Linked DNA regions of Nothobranchius furzeri. The protein of the gene in region 1 interacts with the protein of each later gene in a pairwise test. Links are inferred from orthologs where the notes say so. Each region holds a gene or a part of one and is shown on either strand. Other genes may lie near its edges. The genes, in order: rxraa and nr0b2a.

The links.
Region 2: the proteins of rxraa (region 1) and nr0b2a interact in a two-hybrid assay, tested with the Homo sapiens proteins (2 studies listed by BioGRID and IntAct). The link is inferred for Nothobranchius furzeri from reciprocal best matches to the Homo sapiens genes RXRA and NR0B2.

Annotation. Positions count from the first base shown.
Region 1 is NC_091746.1:41,706,981-41,710,802, forward strand, and holds the end of rxraa (retinoic acid receptor RXR-alpha-A), read right to left. Parts: intron 580-3,822; coding exon 474-579; intron 337-473; coding exon 189-336; 3' UTR 39-188; downstream 1-38. UniProt on the Homo sapiens protein: Receptor for retinoic acid that acts as a transcription factor.
Region 2 is NC_091745.1:40,694,144-40,697,961, reverse strand, and holds nr0b2a (nuclear receptor subfamily 0 group B member 2a), read right to left. Parts: upstream 2,253-3,818; 5' UTR 1,814-2,252; coding exon 1,279-1,813; intron 1,194-1,278; coding exon 928-1,193; 3' UTR 726-927; downstream 1-725. UniProt on the Homo sapiens protein: Transcriptional regulator that acts as a negative regulator of receptor-dependent signaling pathways. Specifically inhibits transactivation of the nuclear receptor with which it interacts.

The DNA.
Region 1 (3,822 bases):
ATTTCTTGTTTTCAAAGTCAAAGAGAGTCAATGAACAGAGGAGATGAGGCGGCGGCGTGGGGCTGGGGGCGTGTTCTCCGTACAGTCTCAATAAAACGCCCGGCTCTCTTCCCAGAGGTGATGTTTGTGAGGAGGGGGCGGGGCATGAGGAAGAGGAGAGAGGATGGATTTAGGAGGGTTTACTGCTACTATGTCATCTGATGAGGGGCTTCTAGCATCTCCATGAGGAAGGTGTCGATGGGCGTGTCGCCGATCAGCTTGAAAAAGAATAGGTGTTCCAGACACTTGAGCCCAATGGAGCGCAGCGCCGGTAACCGTAGCAACAGCTTGGCAAACCTGTTCAGAAACAACACAAGCGTCAGTACTGATGATAAAACAAGGAATCAACAGAGAAAAACGATTAATGCTGGTTATTTTGTAACCAACGTGGCTAGGTTTTAGTTATACATTCATGTTTGTGATTTTAATCCCACCTGCCCGGCTGCTCGGGGTACTTGTGTTTACAGTAGGCCTCTAAAGACGCGTAGACCTTCTCTCTCAGAGCTTCAACTTCACCTGGGTTGGACAAACCTTTAGAATCTGAAACACAAGCACAAGAACAAACAACTATAACAAACCTGCAAACATATTCTGTTTTAAAATCGGATTTTTTTCATTCAAACAGTGAAAAAAATCAAAAATCTAAATATTATGGCAAAAATTTGAATAACAGCTGAATCTAGAAGTTTTCTCTCAAAGATCTAGCCATCACAAGTGTTTGGGATTCATTGGGAACTCTGTGATTTAGTCTGTGTAAAGGCTGATTTATACTTCTCCATGAGCTCCGCAACGTGAGAGATGTACACGGAGTGTTGGAAAGGTTTTTACATGTGAACTTAAGCGTAGGCAGCAGAGTGTTGCAAAACAATTCCCCGCCAGGAACACAGAGGGCGTAGCGTTTTTCTGTGGTATACTGCCACCGTCACACTCATGTATCCGGTCCACGATAGTGCATTTACTAATGTGTTTATTTATTTCAGAGACTTTATAACACGGACAAATTTGTCCTTCATTCTCCTCCACCTCTTCATGTGGTCGCCACCTCTAAACTCATTTTTCCTTTAATTTCCGTCCACGTTTGCTCCATATTTTGTACTCCTACTATCATGGGTGAATGAACATTCATATTTTCAGTTTTACCACAATGCGTTCTTCAATCTGTTCTGGGTCTGCCGCTAAATATCTTTTTACTTTTTAACGGGGCAACGACGGTGCTGGTGATGAATTTACACGAAGCGGCATCCTGACCAATCACAAGCTTGCAGTCTCTGTCACTTTCGACAGATGTTTAAAATGTTGGGGAAGTCTCCGTCGCCCTCTGAGCCCATCGGAGAGCCCTTGCACCGACGCATAATGGCGTTGCGTGTCTCCGCACTGATGCAGAAGTATAAATCAGGCCTAAGTCAGAATGTGTGACGAATGCGAAACAACCGTGGGAGGAGTTGGAGACCAGATCGAAACTAAATTGAAACATAGTTGAGACACTTTGCTGCTAAAGCGGGACAAAAAATTCACATGAATGTTGACATTTGTTTGCAGTTATTTCACAAATCACAAAAGTGAGAATCCAACAAAAAAAAAAAAAAAAACATTTTTTGTCACAACTTTTGTTTCTCCAAATCGTCTTCAGCAGCCATAGAATAACAAAGCTTGAGGTTTTTACTCATTACAGAAAAATCCTAAAACATTTTCAAACAAATGTTGGCTGAATGGGCATAAATGAGTCAATCTCATTTTATCTTTCCCTGAAACAGGTTTGTGACTTGCAGATTAAGTTTTAACCCTAAACCAACATGTGTCGCCCCATTCTGCGCTAATTTAAACTCCAATGAAAGACACATCTTTGATTCGCAACACAAACACGTCATTGATGAACACCAATGGTCACCGAAGCGTTTCACCATTGCCTGACAATGAATGAACACTTGTTTTTAATGGCCGGACTGGACTAAATTGTGCAGTGTGGGAAAGGAATTACCGAAGAGCCCTTTTTAGCCTCTTAGCCTCACCCCCCTTCCCCATCCTCCCTCTTCATTTGCAGCCTGAGAGCCATTTGCTCCCTCAGTCAGACCAGTTTTACAAACGGCTAATTAACAGGAATCAAGCAGCAAAATGAACCAAGGTTAGTTGGGCCTGGGCATGGCCTGAACATCATGTTGGACACCGAGAATCAGTGTTCTAGATCTACGTTGGATACCACAGGGACACGTGGATCGAGTCATTAAAAACCTGGGTCACATTCAGGAGCAGCTTTAGTAAATGTGGTGATTATTAAAGTAAAAGACAGGACGTGATCACATGATGATCTATTTTTCTCCTAATGGACAAACCTTTAATACTTCCACTTCTTTTTCTGACACTCTCTTCGTGCTTCTGCACTCTGGTTATGATCATCAAAACTAACATTGAGGATAAAAGTGATACAATGCTATGAAGGAAGGAGTAATACTTTAAAATTAATAAACAATCATGATAGACTTTCACGATAAGCAATCATGAAATGAACTATCCATCCTTTGTAATGCTGTCATATGCAGCCCCACAAATTTGGACAAAATTATCTCTGGTTTTCAGGAAAGGTTTATTTTCCTTTTTCTTGGCTGGGAATATTTACAAGTGAATATATCAAAATTTCCAAGTAAAACTGTCATAGTTTCTGTTTAAAGTATGCCATTATAACTGTAATGTATTATGGGTATATCTTACCTTTTAACAGTAAGTTGCTGTATTTTTTCTGATTTTTGGTTCATGTAAGTAACCAGCCACAATGCATTATGGGTAGGTCTCTACACTCGTTATTTCAACACATCTGCAGTGGTCTCTGGTTTCAACAATGAATGCCTTGTGAGTTGTTCTCTGTGGAAAAAAGGCTCTTGCGCTCATGTTTCAGGAAGTAGAAGTTAGTTGGAGGAGTGTGTTTGTGAGTGTGTGGGTTGGACAGTAGGATTTGGAGTCTGACTCCTTACTTTAACTTTTATTAAGGGGCCTGCCACCGCAGGCAGGGCCCTTATTGATCCTAACCAGAGGATTCATTATCTTTTATATTATTCTTCGGGAAGCGTGCACCCCACAAACGTTACATCAAAACGACTGTCTCAGCCGTGGATAATATGGTGTATTATAATTTTGGGGGTGCTCACCCCCATGTCACCACATTATCATGTTTTTGGGGTGCTCATCCCAACATTTTCGAGTTATTATGGCAACGTTATTGCCATGGTTAACATTAGCAAGAAATATATTTAAAAAAAAGCCTCACTGTGCCAGCAGGTCATACATAATATTCAGCGGATATCTTGCCTCTGATTGGCTGACAGCAATGCAACTCTACCATCGCCTCCCTTTGCCATTTTTTCTTGGGTAAAAATGATGTTTTATCTCACAAAAACACAAGCCTGACGGAAGTCTGCGATGTGGCAGCATTGCTAATGCTAATGGTTAGCTTCTGCTAGAAAAGATGTGCCCTGCCCTCCCCTGGAGACTAAATCAACTATTAGATTATAAAAGTAAAGGGTTAGGGTAAAATAAAAATACCTAAAATACACCTAGATTAGCTGAGAAATTAAACAGAACAAAGATTCTATAAACATTTTTATGAAGCAAGGGGGCTGGAGCACTCAGGTAAGTATAAAAAAACAATTTTTAATTAATGCATGCATTAAAAATGATCTAAATTCACACAAAAACATTTAATTGCAAAATAAACAAAAAATTGACAAAGATAAATTTCAAACTACTCTGTCATTTCTCAGAACTGAGATAAAATATTTTTACAGACATTAC
Region 2 (3,818 bases), on another chromosome or scaffold:
TCTGCTCAAATGAAGATGTTCAGTTTGAATGCACCGGGTTCTAAGTTTTCAGTAAATCTAGCAGATTACAGCCACCTTATCCTAACAACTCCAACATTTGGATGATTTCATATCTGCTGAAAAGAAAAATTGCTGCAGCAACAAAAATGTGTAGTTTTTTTCCACTTTGCACTCGATTTGAAGCATTTTGGACTCTCCTTTTGTCTTGTTTGTGTTGCCGTTTCCACGCGTAACCCCATTTCCACCGGCTCACCGCCCCCACCAGCACATTCCTGTTTTACCTGTACGAGTTGTCATGTAAAGACAGGGTTTCACAACTAACATACCACAAAGTAGGATGACTAAGCCTGATTTCTCAAATAACTACATGCAGACAGTGTTTTTTTATACTGCGCTGAGTTTAGCGTTCGTGCCATTCTGTCCCTTTTTGTGACGATGGGGTGGGGGGATCTTGATGCTGTGGTTTTGTGAGAAATGCAAAAGTAAGAAAATATTTGCCGCTAGTCTTCTGAGAAAAAAAAACTTCCACCAAACGTCCTCTAGAGGGAGACACAGCACAGCAGTACAGGCAGAAAAAAGGTTTTCTGTTCCATTTGAAGCCACAAATGTGTGTTTTCATTCTAATTTTAGATTCTCTCCTTTAACGCGCAGGCTTACGCTTGACTTTCTGAAAAGTTTGCTGAGCACAACATGTAATGGAGGATGGATCCACGGATCGGACTCAGTCGTGTACAAAAATATATTTATTCAAGTTTTCTGGAAATGCAGATGCTTATTTACAGCAGAGGAGCTCATCGACACGTAGGATCAAAACTCAAAAACCTCTCAGGAGTTCTGCTCAGACGGTGAAGTGACCTCAGCTTCAGCGGACGAAAGTCAAAACCCTAGTGTGCTTTATAGAAGCCTCTAAAGCACGCTGCATGGAGGTCACCATCCCGAGGACCACCCCTCCCATCGGCTGAAGAGCATGTCGACCAGCAGCTCCAGCAGGTTGGCCTGGCCTATCACAGGCCTGAAGAAGAGTTCGGTGATGAGGCTGGGTGTGATGCCCTGCAGCATGGAGGCTGTGAGGAGGATCCGAGCAAAGCGCTCCTGGTTGCCAGGGTGAAGCAGCTGGACCACCTCGCTCAGGGCGTGCTGAGCTTCCTGCTGCAAGCCTTCGACAAACAGGCCTGCCTTCAAATCTGGTACATCTGTTTGAGAGAAAACCAGAATTGTTGCTTGACAAACGAGTCCTTGGATTATCTGTTGTCTGAATCCAGTTAACGCAGTACATACCTGGATTAAATATCGTGGTCCCTTTCAGGTAAGCGTACTCCTTTGGGCTCACATCTAGACTCCAGAACTTTTTGAGACACGACTTGAGTTTGCTGATGCCTGCCATGGTTGGCTGCTCCCGCTCTGTTTCAGGGCTCTCCTGGCAGTTCAGGAGAATCTTCTTCAGCATGCTGTCAGCAGGGACGTCCGCCACCTCAAAGTCCACGCGCTCCTGGGCCAAACCCAAAATAAAAAGTGGCACCCAGCTGCTTTTAAGTAGTGCAAACTGGTCACTGGGTGGCAGCTGGTTAAACGCTGGCAAGTTCTTCATGAAGTGGACGGTTTTCACCAGAACTGCAGACGCCTCTTTGCAGACCACAGACGGCCTTTTTAAGCACACTCTCCGCCGCGTCTCACAGTTGCATCTGTGAGGAACGGAACTGTGGCTGGAGGTGTCTGGAGTCGGTCTACCGCTGTCCATCTGGCTCAAGATGTTGTAGAGGATCGGGTTTAACTGCCTTTGTTTGTTAGCGGAACACTGGCATCTGTTATCCATCTTTCTTCGATGCGGCTGCTCCTCTGAACCTCTTCTCTGCCACGACGGGCTCCGTCTGAGCTTCTGAGAGCTGCTGCTTCCTCCAGTCTTATTTATAAGGCCAACCCTCCCTTCTTAGTGGACCTTGAAATGTCAATACACCCAATGTGAAAAACAACCGCGCGCTCTGCCAGGTGACTGCTGGAATAACCCTGGGAAACAGATAAGCTTTTCTCATTGAGAAGTAGCTGCTGGAGTCACACATGGATATCAAGTGGGATTGGCCTTATCTGGAAGGCAGTGTCATCAACCCAGGCAGTACCAAGCTACCAAGGACTGCAGAGGTAATCAGCCCCACGCTGTGTCACTGCACCCGCCAGCTCACACCTGTAGTGCTGGAAGGAGGCCAGACCACAAAGGAGGCCGTTGACCTTCACATCGTGTTCTCATCAAACGTAGTTTAGTTTAGACAAACGTTTCCAAACCGGGAACAGTGGGAATTATGCTTCAATTTTAGGGAAACAGTAGTAGTAGCATAAAACCACCAAATAATTCCCGACCACAGCTGCAGTTCTCCGCTCCCCACGGGGATGGGTCAAATGCGGAGATGAATTTCAACAGTGTGTGATGACTAAAGGAACTATTGAAATGATTCCAAATGACTTCGGGAAGAATATAAAACAAGTTCATCGCTGTAGCGAGCCCCCTAGGGGCAAGTTGCATTGATAGCTTAACCTGTAACTCTGGGGTGGGAACAAACGGTAAAATGTACACTTAATGCATCTAATCCTCAGAAGTCCCAAAGCATACTTCAACCTTATAACCACTTCACCTACTAACCTTTAAAATCGGACCGGCTAGCAGCAACGCGACTCTACCACTGACTCTGTTTGCTCTTCAACGTTGATGTTTTCTCTCCACAAATAACACGAGCCTGGAGGAGGTCTGCTGTGTGGTGGAGTTGCTTGTGCTAACGTTAGCTTCTACTACCTCTCTGCTGTTTCCTGGATGCTAAGCCAACAACAGCCGCGAGTCAAGGAGGGTGAGTCCATGAATGTTAGGTGACAGCGTGGCGTAGATCTGTCAGGCTTTTCAAATCCTAGGTGTAGGAGACTATTTTCATGTTCAGCATGAACGAAACACTCGGAGACCGATTATAATCAGAAATAATAATTAAAACTTTTTTTCAGTGTTCCACACCGTTAATGGATATCCATCAAGATTTGCGTTTTAATTCTGCCTTTTCGATCTTTAACACGATTATTACACAGAAGATTAAAAGGTTGTTTGTGTGATCGTAAGGGTCGTGTGTAAGACCAGTTTTTCATTTGAAACATGCACAGAAGTGTTTGTTAGTGATCTGGAACGTAATTAACCCGTTTTACAAATGTCTGCTTCTATAGTTTCTTTGTTTGCATTTGCTTTTGCCCAGTTCCTGAGTAACAGCTGCATTTACGTAGAAGTTTTTGAACATGTTTATTTTGCTGTCAACACATTTGAAATGAAATGAGGCATTCTAACTGCAGATGTTCCGTTTGTGAGACAAACTTATCTAAAAAAGCATCTTGATCAAAAAAGAAATAGTGTTATTGTTTTTACAAATGTTACATTCTCTTGTTGTTGGCCATTTCACAACTAATCTCAATAATGTACATGTTTTTCTTCAGTTCAGATTATTTATATAGCTCCTAACTCAGCAGACGGCATCGAGTCACTGACTAGGTCTTTGCAGCAATCCTCAAAAGCAAGTGTGTAGCGACAGTGGGGATTGGGAAGTCAGCGCAAACACACACACACACACACACACACACACACACACACACACACACACACACACACACACACACACACACACACACACACACACACACACACACACACACACACACACACACACACACACCAAGTGGTGTTCCTATGGCTAGATTGTGATTTCTTATTAAATATTCTATTTAGTGAGAAATAAACTTTATTGTCTTTATCTGGGTGAATCTAATGGGCCATTCCCATCTGTACCGGGTCGGCC